Kluyveromyces lactis: one gene and its partner. The protein of the gene in region 1 binds, or shares a complex with, the protein of each later gene. Links are inferred from orthologs where the notes say so. Each region holds a gene or a part of one and is shown on either strand. Other genes may lie near its edges.

Evidence for each region.
Region 2: the proteins of POT1 (region 1) and PEX21 are in contact, whole or in part, in a crystal structure (PDB 3W15), measured with the Saccharomyces cerevisiae proteins. The link is inferred for Kluyveromyces lactis from reciprocal best matches to the Saccharomyces cerevisiae genes POT1 and PEX21. Residues at the interface, in NP_012106.1 of Saccharomyces cerevisiae: Met1, Ser2, Leu5, Gln6, Ile8, Lys9, Leu12, Val13; in NP_011755.3 of Saccharomyces cerevisiae: Leu199, Ile202, Ala203, Asp205, Ile206, Cys209, Cys210, Thr211, Leu231, Phe236, Met240, Ile243, Leu250, Leu262.

Annotation. Positions count from the first base shown.
Region 1 is NC_006042.1:998,052-1,006,218, reverse strand, and holds POT1 (acetyl-CoA C-acyltransferase), read left to right. Parts: upstream 1-3,378; coding exon 3,379-4,593; downstream 4,594-8,167. Other genes in the region: formin BNR1, read right to left, coding at 1-2,392; SMU2 (Smu2p), read right to left, coding at 4,694-5,320; KLLA0_F10835g (Zn(II)2Cys6 transcription factor domain-containing protein), read right to left, coding at 6,437-8,167. UniProt on the Saccharomyces cerevisiae protein: Responsible for the thiolytic cleavage of straight chain 3-keto fatty acyl-CoAs (3-oxoacyl-CoAs).
Region 2 is NC_006041.1:1,382,141-1,389,921, forward strand, and holds PEX21 (Pex21p), read left to right. Parts: upstream 1-3,661; coding exon 3,662-4,582; downstream 4,583-7,781. Other genes in the region: HFL1 (Hfl1p), read left to right, coding at 1-695; KLLA0_E15445g (uncharacterized protein), read right to left, coding at 1,090-2,070; TDA11 (Tda11p), read right to left, coding at 4,786-6,114; KLLA0_E15511g (uncharacterized protein), read left to right, coding at 6,486-7,781. UniProt on the Saccharomyces cerevisiae protein: Receptor that mediates peroxisomal import of proteins containing a C-terminal PTS2-type peroxisomal targeting signal via its interaction with PEX7.

The DNA of each region.
Region 1 (8,167 bases):
GTTTAGGCTTAGACACGAATGTCACATTGTTAGCTAGAGGTAATGGTGGAGGAGGAGGAGGAGGCGGTGGAGGAGGAGGAATGCCGTCTGTTGGTTTTCCTGGGAGGGTTTCGTTTGGGAATGCAACTGATAAAGATGTATCTTCTACTGTGGATTCCTTGTTCAGGGATGACAGAGTTGATGGTAATGGTGGAGGCGGAGGTGGAGGCGGAGGTGGAGGCGCGACATTTGACGAAGCACAGGAAGCAGAACTAGTTACTAGGGCCGGTCCATTGGTCATTGGTGAGGTGAAGGCTTCTATACTTTTCAGTTGAGGCGGTAAAGGTGGTGGTGGAGGCGGCGGAGCCGCTGGTGCTGCAATAGAAGCAGGAATCACAAATGCTGTTTGGGCTGATGGAACTTCTGTGGTCGTTGCTGATACTACATCATTACTGGAAGATAGTTTTGGGAGTGCTGATACCTGATGGAATATGTCGTTCTTGCGTGGATATATCGGAGTCACTGGAAGGTCATCGTCAGAATTGTTATTCAAGATGTTATAAGGGGTAGAGTGCGGATATTTTGACTGAGGTTTTTCATTTGCAACAGTGGATAGCGATGCTATACGTTTACTTTTTGATAAGGAAGTTGATCGTTGAGTACCAATAAGCGGTTTATGTTCTTTTAAAGTCTCAAACAGTGACACAGAACGTTTTGGTGTATATTCTGCTACATCTCTATGGGCGATAGTGAGATCCAACTGTTTCTTTTCTTTCTTTAGCTGATTTTCTACAACTTCCAATCTGTCTTGCAATTCTTCTATTCTTATTTCCCTTGATTTCAAAAGTTCTTCTTTATTTTCTAATTTCTGCAGTAGATCCCCTTTGGAAACCTGTTTGTCTTGTAGCAATGTATCCAATTGAAGTTGTATTCCATCAAATTCTTTCTTCTTTTCATCCAGTTCCATCATTGCTCTTTTGGCAATTTGATGGGATTGTAAGTTATCCATTATATGATCTAGTGAGGTCATGAAAACTTGTTCCGTGTTGGTTTCATCAAAGCTACCATCCAAGGTATGTTCGCATAGATAGGTTAGAATAGAATTGAAAACATAGAACAGTTTTATTGAACCTTCCGTTGTTCTTTCATTTACTAGCTCCAAGATCGTTTCTATAATATTGCAAATAGGCGTTTCTAACGGCGTATCTTTAGTATATTCGATTAAACTCTTGATTTGAGGACCATAAGATATTTCACTCAGAAACTCATTTTTGAACTGTTTGTCTTGCACCTTCAATTCAAGTTCGATATACAGGTCTATGTCCTGATTCAAAGCTGATGAGTCTAAATCCTTCATTAGCCGGAAAACCCGGTGTATTCCAGCTCTCTTCCATCTTTTGAAACACGCCAGTTTTAGATCATTGGAAGGCAGAAGTTGTTGAATGGATTGAACCAGTAACAATGTAGATATAGAGTAATCTACGAGCAATTCTTTTGGTTTTGGAAGAATTAAAGAGTTGTTAAACGCATAATCCTCCGGGTTTCGAAGAGTCATTTCTACTGCCTGGATCCAACTTTCGTAGCACAAATCTAACGATTCCAACAAAGAATCTGACCATTCAGTGGAATATGTCAGAAGGATCACAATTTGGGTAGATAAAAGACGAACTCTAAGGTCAGTTGTGAGCGTTCCTAAAAGGCAGAAGACGTAAGTTATCCAATCATTATTCTGGAATATCACAGATCTTGCTGAAGTATCGTTAAGCAATGCTTTATAACAGCATAAGTACACGTACTGGGATTTTTTATCCAATAAATCAATGAACCCATTCAAAATCGAAACTCCGTTTGCATTCACAAACAGCGAAATAAAATCAGCATGTCGAAGTAAACGTTCCAATTGATAAAGTGTTTGAGTAACCGAGAATCTCTTATTCAAATTGCTCAAAATCATATGTAAAGTATTCAATTTTGAATCGTCTTGCATCGTTATATCACCATGTAGTTTCTTTTCCTTCTGAATCAATTCCCATTTACGGGTATACGACAAGCTTTTCAAATTTTGCTTAGCAGTACCTAGAAACGCATGTCCATTCAATAACTCTTCAAACTTGGCATCAATTTCTTGTTCTGACGGTAGCTGAGTGTCTGCTAAACACATTTTATCCGTTTTAGAAACATGTCGCGTAGAATCAACGTTCGGAGTTGAAAAGTTGTGTGATTTCATGTATCGCAGGGTCTGGGAGCGAGGTTTGAGCCCTGTTCCTACTAGATTCAGCCCTTGTATTACCAGATCATCGTTGGAATCATTGCTAGAAAACCTGGTCTTGGCATTTGCAGTCGGAGCATTAATGGATCCAGATCGAAGCGGAAACAAAATACTAATGGATTTTTCATTCTTATCAACAGTCATTGGTCGGTCAAAGTTTGTTGATTTTCAGTTGCAGAATTATAGCCAGAAAAGTGATTTGATACTCATCAATACAAGGAAAACGCGATCATTCAATAATGATCTGGGAGATAGCGAAATAATTTCACTAGATAAACGCTTGTACAAAAAACAATTTGTCAAAGAAAACGATTAATTCTAATGATTAGCAAAGCTGATTGTAGAACAGTTTTAGACTCTCTTCAAGTGTACGTATTTATGGATTTCCTTTGTGTTACAAAACATGTGTACTAAATTTCATACGCTTTTAGTGCTTCATTTTGTTACGTTCCTTAATAGATGGATCAAAAATTAAAAAACGTAAACAAAAACAGGATCAAAAGCTCAGAAACGCACTTTGGAAAGGAAGAAGAGACCAGAAGGAAACAGTACGCGACACGTGAAACAATCTATAGATACTAGTCACGTGAGTTGGATCTTCTTTGCTACCCGGGGTAAGTTTTTTCAACTTGGGGGTTACCCCGCATGCGACGTTGGTCTTTCATTTTTAGGGTATTTCATAACGAAAACCGGAATTAGTGTGACAATGCCGATCTCCAATTCTACGACATAGCCTTGAGCAAAGGCAAATTTGAGACTGTAGTTAGATTAAGTCAGGATCATTGTTAATGACATCGTGGAGCTCCGTAAAGTTTCTGCTTTTCAGTGTTGATGATTAACTGCGAGCTTAATGGCCGTGAAGAAGGGATGTATGCGATCATTAAATCCTCTTTAACATACTCCAAAACGACGGCTGGTTGGTTCTGCTCATTGTTCGTTATTCCCCATATTTATTTTAGCGAGTGATCCCTTTGACAAATAATTTTTTGTATAAATTACGTACATAAATGTGTCATGCTGACATTATTCCTTTATCACTGACTTTTATCAGATGAATTGATTGACAAGTGAACATCATAGGGCAAGATATAAGTATACTACAGGCGAGTACAGTCAATCAGAAATATAATATGGCTAGCAGACTTCAACAATTAGAGAAACATTTGACAGGACGCAGTTCTGAAAAGGATATAAAGAGTAAGAATCCGGACGATGTGGTTGTTGTAGCTGCGTATCGTTCAGCTATTGGTAAAGGGTTCAAAGGAGGATTCAAAGATGTTAACACGGATTATTTACTTACACAGTTTCTGAAGGAATTTTTTGAGAAAGTTGACATTGATAAGAGTGTCATTGAAGAAATTGCGTGTGGTAATGTGTTGAATCCCGGTGCAGGTGCGACAGAACATAGAGCTGCGATGTTAGCTGCTGGTTTGCCATATCAAACTCCGTTAGTGGCTATTAACAGACAGTGTTCCTCAGGGTTAACTGCCGTTAACGACGTTGCAAATAAGATCATTTCTGGGCAGATCAATGTAGGGTTGGCTATCGGGGTGGAATCTATGTCTAAGAACTATGGTCCGAAGGCTCTTGGGTCTATATCAAATGAGTTGAAATCGAACACGGCTGCTGCTAAGTGTATGATACCAATGGGATTTACTAATGAAAACGTTGCTAAGAAGTTCCAAATTTCAAGAGAAGACCAGGACAAATTTGCCCTGGAGTCATTCTATAAAGCGGAAAGGGCTGTCTCACAGGGATTGTTTAAAGATGAAATCATCCCTATTGAACTACCAGACGGATCTATAATTGCGCAGGACGAAGGTCCTAGAAAGGGCGTCACTTTCGAATCGTTACAAAAGATTAAACCTGCATTTGTGAAGGAAACAGGTGTGACAACTGCCGGTAACGCTTCTCAGATATCAGATGGTGTTGCTGGTGTGTTGCTAATGAGAAGATCCATGGCCATGAAATTGGGTTTGGAAATCGTTGGTAAGTACGTTGCGTTCCAGGCAGTAGGTGTTCCACCTGAGATCATGGGTGTTGGCCCAGCATATGCGATTCCAAGAGTCCTCAAAGACTGTGGTTTAAATGTCAACGATGTTGATGTTTACGAGATTAATGAGGCCTTTGCAGGGCAGGCCATTTTCTGTGTCAACCATCTAAAAATCGACAAGAAGAAATTGAACCCAAGGGGAGGCGCGATTGCCTTAGGTCATCCTTTGGGCTGCACTGGTGCCAGACAAGTCGCTACCATATTAAGGGAATTAGACGCTGGTCAAATTGGTGTTGTTAGCATGTGTATCGGTACTGGTATGGGAGCTGCTGCAGTCTTCGTCAAGGAGTGAGTGAATATTAACGTGTGTATAATGTAGTTTCCCTCTTCTGTAATGACCATTTCGATGAATATGATGAGTAACTCATATTATTCGCTACTGTGTTTTTTTTTCAATCAGAGAGTTTTGACATCAGATTCTTCTGTACCGTGTCCCTATTTATATACTCCGGAGACTGCAAAGAATTCCAGTTGGTAACCAAATAGTTTAATTGTATAACTAGCGGCTGTTTATCTTTGAGTAAAGCTTTTGATTTATAATTGAAATTGTTTACAATTCGTGATAACGGGTCATCTGAAGAACAGTCTTTCGGTTTACTTAGCTTTATGGCGGATTGAGGATAATCGACCGGAATGTTGAAAACACATTTCACTTTCTTTTGATTCTGATCTTGATCAGTGGTAATAAACGTTAGCGAGTAGGTCGTGACATATTGTCCTTTCCTTAACATTACAATATCTGACCCAGCCAAATGGCACAATTGGTCAATTTCGGCTTTTCTTTGCAACTTCAAGGCATTTCTCAATTTGAATTTTTTCTCTGCATTTTCATTATGGGATGATTTGGCGGTAATTTCAAGACTGGTTGCCTTCTCTGCAGGTACTGATTTTTCTGCCTTTGACCGTCTCCCTCTCTTCCTCCTATAACTATGTCCAGCATTTTTTCTCTTGTCAGCTTCACTCTCTTTCGTATGTTTAATTACGCCATTCTCAACTTTTCCTGCAGCTTTCGCAGACATGATGGTAACCCGATTGCTTGGCCTGATATTTAGAATCTCTCAAAATAATATCTACCGAGCAGAGTACGCTGAAACGGTTGAGATACCAATGGTTATATAGCTTAAGTTCTTTTTCATAGCTCCCTCATTCTCTATAAACTGATCTCATCTCATATTTCATTAACTTACCATGTCTACTGCCTAAATGCATAAAGTTTCAGTTTTTTTTCACAAAATTGGTACCTGATTGTTGTAGAAAAAACGTGACCAGAGTTGCGACACTGCCTCAATGAATACCGACTCATTCCTGAAGGCATCGAATAAAGAAACATATAGTCATTGGCGGTCAATTTCTGGAGATTTGAAAGTGAATTCAATCTATCAAACTTGATATTCAACCTCCTTAGTTTCTGAATTATGATGTTTTGACTATTACGTGGCTTCTGAGCTTTCAGGTGTTCACCTCTAATACTGTTCTTTGATGGTATCGAGAAGGCAACAAACAAAATCTCGAAGATCATGATCTTCCTCATCTTTTTGAAATTTATTAAAGAATACTACAACTTTTTTAGACTTCCGTGGAAAACATTTCCTATTTAAAGCAAAAAACGAGCTTTCCTTTAGTTAATTGAGGTTTTTGACGGTCAACATAAGTAAATCTAGGAATACTATCACCATTTAATCTCTAGTTAGCATTCCGTAAAAAATTTGTGGCACGACATACTCTCTGCTGTTTTCTCCTTTGTTACATTTTTGAGCGCTGCATCGACCGTTCTATGTTTTGTTTAAATATGCAGGATACGCCATTTTTGTATTTTAATTCCGAATTAATAACGACTTGAAGAGCATTTTTTCCCTAAACTGAACCTTAAACTCAAAACAATAACAGAAAAATTCCGTAAAAAACTTGAATCTGTGCGCTAAAAAAGCTGTTTCTTAATTGAATGAATTTTGGATGGGAGATATATATATATATTCTCACACATCAAGATAAATAAGTAACTGATTGAAAATCTATATTCTTCTATATTATAATTGAAATAGTACAACTTTGGCATGATATTTGTTCCAGTTTAGAGGATTCATTTAAAGTGATTGACTTCGTTATTTTTTTGGACATTGAAAGGGAATATTAACTTAGATGGGGATAAAGTCATGATCAGGATTGATGATATTCTGATAAGCACCAATTGCAACATTAGCTTTGATGGCGTTTAGCTTGTCTACACTATTTTTAGCAACTGCCATTCCGCTGTCGGTGATTTTACTCAAAAGGTCGATGAAATGGACATAAAGCACATCATCTTCAGCTATAATACATGTGAGTGCTCCTACGAACAACGATGGATGGCAGCACACCCCACAAGATGAGTAATAAGGGTTGCTATAAGAAGTTTTCACCATTGTGTATAGAATACTTTTGATCTCAGGAGATTTTGGATCAACATCAAGAAAGTACACCTTGAGATAGACTTCCATTAGAAAGTAAAACATGCTATGCGATGCAAGCATTGAAAATTTCAACCTTAGGTCAGTCACGTCGATGAGATTCAATTCTAGATTCGAATCTAAAACTGCTGAACGCTGTAATTCATCCAGCAATTCTCTACCGAACATAGATAATTGAGGTAAAACTGATTTTGTCGTTCCGTTGACTTTGAAAAGGAAAATGTTTAATCCGGAAATATCGACGCCTTTGTCTTTAAATTCGAACATTCGCAACAAGAGGTGGAAATACACAGAGTTGAGGTTATTGGACATACCTTTCAAGAGATTGAAAGAATTGCCTGTTAACGACAACGGAGAGCTTTCAGTAAGGAAAGCAGTCTTTGTGAATTCAGTGATATCAATTAAAGAAATTCCAAAATTCGATGCGATTGAAGCGGCTGTTTCCGCATGACAGAACCAATCCCTTAAAACACTGTAAATATCAGCAGCATTCTGCTCTAGATCGGTCAATTGACCCTTTGGCATCAATATTGATGCTCTGATCAAAAGCTGTTGACATCCTCTAAGATGAGTTCTCCAGAGATTACTTCTCAAGGCACTATTAGCAAAAAACATGAGGAACACGGTGAATGTTAAGCAAACATACTCCACAAAGTCTTGAGAATTTTGGATTCTTTCATTGATGGTTCCCAACACTTGTTTGAAACTTAAGGCTCTTACATAACGATCCCATATTTGGGAGAAATGATGCAACTTTGCATTTTCATACACGTCCTGCATAAAAACTGAGATGTCATATCGTATAGCATCTTGGACAATTGTATGTTTCTCATTCAAAGACCAGAGACACCGCATGAAGGTATCGAATCTATCATGAGGAAATAACAAGAAATTACCCGCGATCAAAGTCGTACAAGCAAATCTCCAAATGAAGTTAGTTAGGTTGGGATCATCGATTCTGATTTCGCTGATCGCAATTGGATTTACACTTTTGTATGCAGTTTGGAATGGATCCTCTTTCTCTAAAAGTTGTAACATATCTATCCAGACAAAGTTTCTCCAATTTATATCGTATGGTTTTAAAAGAGGTACCCAGTTCTTTAATTCTGTGGCTGAGGTATTAGGTTTGGCATTAAGGTTTGGTAAGCTCAGTAATTTGGCGTCTGATGGGGAGACACAAATGAGATTTTGTAAGTTAAAGTCGTTCAAATCCAGCAGTTGAGCAAAATCAGGTTTCACATTCCAGTGTAATGAATCTGCTTGCTGGGTTGAAAGTTGTTGTTGTTGTTGCTGCTGCTGCGGTATATTAGACAGCAATTGTAAATGTTCCTGCTGTCGTTGTGGTGGCTGTTGTTGTTGTTGTTGTTGTTGTTGTTGTTGTTGTTGTTGATGTTGTGGCTGTTGTTGCTGTGACAGCTG
Region 2 (7,781 bases), on another chromosome or scaffold:
TTTACTGTCTCGCGATGTTCTGGAAATGTTTGTACACAGAGCTTTCAGTATTCAAACCATGGCCGAAATTTATGTGTGTCAAGTTGATTATTTTCGCATCGTACTGGCAAAGTCTCATTATCAACGTTTTAACGATTATAGATGTCATTGATATACATGGTGACGACAAATATGTGGCATTTGAGATCGGTAATAGTGTACTTTGTGTTGAAATGATTGGATTTGCTATTGCACATTGGTATGCGTTTTCAAGTGACGAATACGGTCCGGACAAGTACCCAAACTCTGGAAGGTTGAAGATCCTCTATGCTTTGAAGGACTGGCTTGGTTTTAAAGATCTATGGTGGGATTTCAAGAGTGTAATAAATGGTGATTACAGAGATTACAGGAGCTTTGACTCGGTGGAATCAATGCTCGCGGACAGAGACACGCACTCAAGAACCAACAGATTGACTAGGGGATTAAGGTACACAAATCAGGGTATGTCATCTTACTGGGTCGGATCTAGTGGATATGGCAGCACCGAAACTGATAACGGGAACGATTTAGAATCGGCATGGACTGATATCACTGAAGGTTTGAATTTGCCAAGGTATATTCCAGAGGACAGCAATTATCCAGTGGTCTGGGACGCAACATCACATCGATATGATGCTAGAATTGATGATTTGAGGAAACAAATGAGGTCGAAGTAAATGTTTTTTAAGGGTGGGACTTTTGTATTGTACTTACTAGTGACAGGAAGAGAGGGCAGTCATGATTTTAGAACAAAGAGAAAACAGCAGCAATAGCGTTTAATTGTGGGAGAAATGACAAAATCTATATGGATATATGAAACGCTTAAATATACATACAATATCTACAGGGGATATATAGCAGTTAGAAATTGTGGAATAAAAGACCATGCTGCCAGATAAAAAGGAATAACAGGGGAAGAAGAAGGTAAAAGATTGGTGACTCTAAATATAAGCATGTCAAGTAAAACGAATACTAAGAGCACAACATTGTGGAATTGGGGAGGGGTAAGCGTTATACTTTGTGCGTGTTTGTAAGGGGGGGGGGGGGGTCATTAGATCATTCAAACGATATTTATAATGAGGGTTCTTGCTTTGTGAACAATAAATGTTTAGCAAATTCGTAAGAGGTCCAGGAGATAGCAGTTGCAGGGATATTAGAAATAACTCTTGGTTGTAAACCTCTCCAGAAACCTTTCCAACCGTAAGATTGCCATATGGCTTGAGCAGCTTTCTTGAAAGTATTTGCGGTTTTGAACGATTCCACATGGACGGTATCGCTCCCTCTAATCTGTAACACTGTCTTGATGCAATCTAAAGGCGTGGTAACAGCTGCACAAGTGGCACCGGCGATACCACCACACAAGCAATGGATCCAAGGGTTGTATGCATTAGTTGGGTTGAAGAACTTAGTACTGGATTCGTAAATCACGAAGTTCAAAGCTGCGAATGGGATATTCATAGCCAAAGTGGTTGGATAACTGTAAAAGAAAGCCATTGGACCTTCGTTCTTATAAATGTTGAAAGCCATTCTCCACATGGAAGAGTCACTACTCTTGGATTGCAATTGCAACCTCTGTTTGATTGTATCGAAGGGGTTCATTAATGCATCTGCGGCCACAGTGGCAGCAACACCACTGACGGCAGTTTTCAACGGCTGATGGGTATTGAAATCCTTAGCGTCGATCAACTGTTCTTTACAAAATTCATAAGTTGCAAAATATACTGCATGAGCAGGGCCTGCACCCATCACCATAGACTGCACACCTCTCCACAACGCAAGGGACCCCTCTGTAGAAGAGATTCTCGATATCTGTTGTAAAAGGGTACCCGCACCGGCACCACCACTGGCAGCACCGGCACCACCAGATGCCGACGCCGACGCCGCAGCCTTAATTTCCGATACTGCTTGCATTCTAGTCTTCAAAGCATCGATAGGAAACATGATCGAATGTTCCATGATACCTGCAAACGCTCCTGCAATCAATTGATATGATAGTGGTGCAGTATCTGGCAAAGCCTCATAATCAATCTCCTGAATACCTGGGTCAGACATGCTAAAATGATCACTCTCTTTCTCTTTTTCTATCAGACCAAAACTCAATCAAACCAAGAAAAAAAATAGCAGAGTGTTTCAAAACTAACAACTTCTTACCTGATTAAAAGGATTCGGTGGTGTATTAAGACAAATTCTGGGATTGTTGATGAACCAAATGCTGTCAAAACTCGGTCTCTTCTCTCTCTTTCTCTGTATCTATACTGATTGAAGAGTTTGAATTTTTCAAATTTTTCACAATTTAGGCTTTCACTCTATGTAAAGGAAACAAAAGCGCAATAAACTGGACCTGAAATCTGGGTGAAGAAGCAACGACTTAGCCGGAGGAAAAACGGTTCTTGCCTTGCTGAATGATACCGGATAACTATAAACTAATCTGAATATTCAGCTACTGTTATATAATTATCTAAAATTGGATACTGAACCCAGGAAGGGTATCAAGATATATTCTCCGTTTATACATCAATTTTTCATCATTACAATATATTCTCTTTCTCTAATGATGCAACGGAAAATTGACAAATGACCAATAAATGGGCGACTCATCTGGCACCAATCGAAAAGAAATACACGATGACTGACTTAATTAATTTAACCGGTACAGTACCCAGCCATGTGATACCTAAATTTGATGCCTTGGCTCGAATAAAGGAACTTAAGCCATACGAGTGAACAGGGCAGCTTTCGCTGCCCTGTTCACTACTAAATTGCCTGTTCAAATTGGCTTTGCCCTTTGGCAATGACAGATTCTATTTCTTTTTCTTCCTTTAACTACTGGCATATTGAGTTAAGAAACACCTGGGAATGATCTCCGGGTAACGCGGAAAAAAAACCCACCTCTTGCTGCACCCCTTTTTTCATTGTCCACACTGTGCTTTGCCCGATTTTGCGGGTGTCGCACGACGACGGAGTTTATTTCCGCCGTTTCAGGCAAGGGAAGAGCTGAAACGGCTGAGTGACGGGTGGCGGCCGGGTAAGGAAAGAAAATACACTGATTACATAATACCATCCACGTGACGTAGTCACGTGGATGGTATTATGTAATCTCAGAGTTGAATGTCCGAAAGCATTCTTTTTTTTTTTTCTTCCTTCCTTTTCCTTTTCCCCCGGGGTTTAAAAATTCCGTTCCGTCCCGACCGGCATTCATTATGCAACTAATCGTCTTTTAGATTATCAAAATGTCAAATGATTATTCCATTTCGACCGAACTACCGCCTCTCCACTTGCTTACGTACTGTTTTTGGGTTCCCTCATCTAATAGCTTCCTCAATCGGCTAGAAGTGCCAGTACTGGTCTTCAGAAGTCCATAGAAAGCCTCACTGTTACCCGGGGGGTTTGCGCATCTGTCGCTCTTTCACTTTTTTTTTTTTTATTCACTTCCATTCCACATCTTTCAACCGTTAGTGGTCTGAACTTGTTTCATTTCTTTATTCATAATTTCTTTCTTTCGTCCAGGTTCTGCATTTATTATATATATATATATATATGTATATAAATAAAGTTTGTACATTGCTTGTTTCGATGATTTGCGGACTAGTTGTCTTATGTCTGTTGCTCGAGGAGACTACCACCAACCAAGAAATATAATACCATGTCAGTGTGTCAAACGAATCCTTTGAACACTCTTGTTTCGAAGTCTGGTTATAGGTTCGGACAGCCGAATCAGCACCAACAGAGCATCGCACAGCAGCAGAGCAGACCAAGAAATAATGCACTAGACCACCAGTTCTCTCAGTTTACTGGTGCCTCGGGTCCCAGTTTCGCTCATCCACAGCATCAACAGCTGCCTATGGCAGCTGTTGTTGCTAACGCTACTACTGCAGCCAGTACTACTAGTAATACTGCTACAGCCTCTGATCACCATGTTTGGATCGATCAGTTCGCAAACATGCAGGTGCACGACAAGACCGAGTTCCCAACAGATTATAAACAGATGTATTCGCAGTACGAGGCGCGTGGCGCCTCGTACTCCATGGGTGCACCGGTGATGGTGTCCCATTCACAAATGTTCCCGCGTCATCAGCAATCTCTGATGGTGAACCAACTCGAGTCACAAGCGTATGCCAGTAGTAGCGCGAAGCTCGATGAACAATTTGCTGAACTGGAAAGACAAGTGCAAGACGATGAAAAAGAACAGCAACAGGACAAGGATGACGATTTCCATCTCAAAGAAACGTCTCCTCTAGACGAAGATCAACGCCAATTAAAAGAAGCAGCCCAATCCATTTACACAACTCTTTCAGATAAATCATCTACAACTAGTTCGAAATTTTCGAACTCCAAGTTCCTTGGACTCATGAGAAATATCAGCGATGGTGTAATAACTCTGAAAAAGAACCCAGATGAGGATAAATATACGGAATTATATTCTCCTTCTACCGGTGAAACTTTTGGCGAAGAGTATTTCCCAGTGCAGGATAGTGTTTTAGGCGACCCCTTGGACTCCATTGGTGACTTATCTAATATGAGTTCATCGGAAGCCGCTGCAAAAGTGTACCATAACTCCGTTTGAAAAAAAAAAAATAAAATGGTATTACTAAGTATGAGTGGAGGGGTATTTCTCTGTTGTCAGATCTACTGTTATTTTGTCGATACATATTGAGTTAGAGTTACTCTACACTCACGTGGAAAATCACCTGGCAGGATCACCATATTCTACTTACTTCCCAATATTAGATTAACTTAGCTAAAGCTTAGTTCCAAAAATAATCTTATTTAATGACTATAATGATACATTTCAATCTCTTTTGCTTGAGTTGATGATTCTGCCTTTCTTGTGCCGTAATCTTCCATATTGGTAGCAAGACCAGTCGCTATCGTGCCTATAGACCCATCAGCATCTTCTTCCTCTGTTGCTAGTAACCCAAGCCCGTTTTTAAACTCATTTACTAAGGACCAAATCGCACTTCCCGCATTGTCGTCACCTTTTGGCTTGCCCTCTGATTGATTTTCAGTTGCACTGGATCCCGAGTCGCCTAATCCTAACTTCGTTTCAACGGTCCCCTGAATAATTTGGTCAAATTGGTTGAGTAATGAAACGGATTTTGTCCATAACGAGCTTGATTTGTTATCAGCGGTTTCTGCGTTGTTACTTTCCCCATGGGATTCTGCAGGTAATGTCGTATTAGAGTTCTGACCTTGAACTTGATTCCCCACTAAACGGCTAACTTTTTTCTTCAACTGCTGAAGTTCTTCTGCATTCTGTTTTATTATCTTATCTTCAATCTTAATTTGCCTGAAAAGATCGTGAACTCGCCTTGTCCTTTCCAATATCTCTAGTTCCTTGTTCGCCAGTGATTGCAACAAAGATTCCATATCATTATCATCTTCAGAAACAGATGGCACTACTTTGGCGGTGTCGGTCGTAGTTGTAGGCAACTTCAATTTAGTAGCTGGACTTGCGCTAAATTCTGTGGTGGCTCCATCCGGGAGAAGTGATCCAATGCTACTTATGCTGGACCGCACAGATTTTTGTCCGTCATTTCGGTCAAGTTTTGATCGATATTTCCGTCCCAGCGGGGTATTCGATACAGACTCTGATGGTTTGCAATGCTGCTGATATGATTGACGTTGCTGCTGCTTAACTGTGTGCTCTGGAGACATTAATGGCATTATTAAAGACTTTCTTTTCCATGTGTTGCTTCTTCGTATTCCTAGCTCCTGATTGCCTCCCTTGCCATTTGTAGCAGCAGAAACCCCGTTACCATTGTTCTTTACGGTGACTTTACCGGACCCCAATGATACATCGTCCTCGTTCTCCTTCATATTGCCAGTGATATCGTCTTGATCTGAATTATCACCTTTCAACGGATGCGAGTCAAGTGTGCTAGTAGGATCAGCCTTGGTAGGCGTTAATTGCAACTGGATGTTCTTGTTTCTACCGGAACTCCCCACAGACTTGGGACTCATACCGCTGGATCCTTGGTTAAATGTAGGGGTAACGCTCCCTCTGTCCGTAACTTCATGATATATTTTACTCTTAGTATCAATATCGTTCTCTTTGTCTTGAAGGTCTATAAATTTCTCCAATACGTCTCTATCCATTGTTTATACCCAAACCGTACACATAAAGATCTAATTTGATTCAAGCCTAGCTTCTTACTACGGTCAGATCAGCCTTTTTACCCTTATCCTTAACTTGTACACTAAAATCAAGCCCCAAAGTTACTGATTGAAATGATAATTTCAGTCTTTCACAGAATTTCGTGTTGTTATGAAAATGAAACAGTGTAAACTTGAAGTTACCAGAAATAGTTCAGACGGCTGCAACTTTTTGCAGTGCGTAACAGCTTGAGGTTCCCAGCAGTGGCTTTATTACACCAGTTAGTGGAATCAAATACTTTGCATATCACATATCTGATTTATCACTTGCTAAGGAACTGGTATTGCGTATTTAGACGGTTACAAACACAAGAATGGCTCCATTCAAATTTGGAAAGAAACAGAAGAATCGGAAAGATGCTTCTGCATCTCCAAATACAACACCTAATTCTAACAGCACTATTGGTAACACTAGCTTTCAACAAGAATTGAGATCTCCTGGATCTAGTTCTACACCTACCAAACAGAACTATCCAAAACCAGCTGCAGATTCTGGGTTACTTGCGGCTCAACAACGCGTTATGGTCAGTCCTGTTGAGCAACGATCTACGTCCACTCAGAGTACCCTACAGCAGCAGGTGTTCACGCCATGGAATAGAATTAGACTAAAGCAGTCCCCTTTCCCCAGATATAGGCATGTTGCCAGCTCATATGCTACTGACAGTGGAGAATTGTTTGTAATCGGAGGTTTGCACGACCAATCGGTTTATGGAGATACATGGATAATCAAGTCACTGGACAACGCTACAAGTTTCAAGTCTATTACAGTTCCCATTGCAGATGCTACTCCACCTCCTAGAGTCGGTCATGCCTCCACACTGTGTGGGAACGCATTCGTGATTTTTGGTGGTGACACTCATAAAGTGAATGATGCCGGTTTGATGGACGATGACATATATTTGTTCAATATCAACTCTCACAAATGGACCATACCAACACCTCAAGGACCTAGACCACTTGGTAGATACGGTCACAAAATCAGTATAATTGCTGCGAACCAAATGAAAACCAAACTTTATGTGTTTGGTGGTCAGTTTGATGATACCTATTTTAATGATTTAGCAGAGTTTGACCTCTCATCTTTCCGGAGATCTGATTCTCACTGGGAATTTATTAAACCGGCAACTTTCATGCCACCACCCTTGGCTAACCACACGATGATCTCGTTTGATCATAAGTTGTGGGTATTTGGTGGTGATACTCCTCAAGGTTTAACTAACGAAGTCTTTATGTTTGATCCAGCTGCCAATGATTGGTGTGTAGTGCAGACTACAGGAAACATCCCACCGCCATTACAAGAGCATGCTGCTATCATATACCGCGATTTAATGTGTGTTTTTGGTGGGAAGGATGCGCAGGACAATTATTCAAACGCCGTGTATTTCTTAAACTTCAGGAGTCTAAAATGGTTCAAACTACCAACTTTTAATAATATGATTCCAAGAGCAAGATCCGGACACTCTCTCACTCTGTTATCAAATAATAAACTGCTAATCATGGGTGGTGACAAGTTTGATTATGCTGTTGGTAACAGCACCGATGTACGCACTTCTGATGTCGACATGGGAGCCGGTACCATTATTTACACTTTGGACCTAACAAACTTGAAT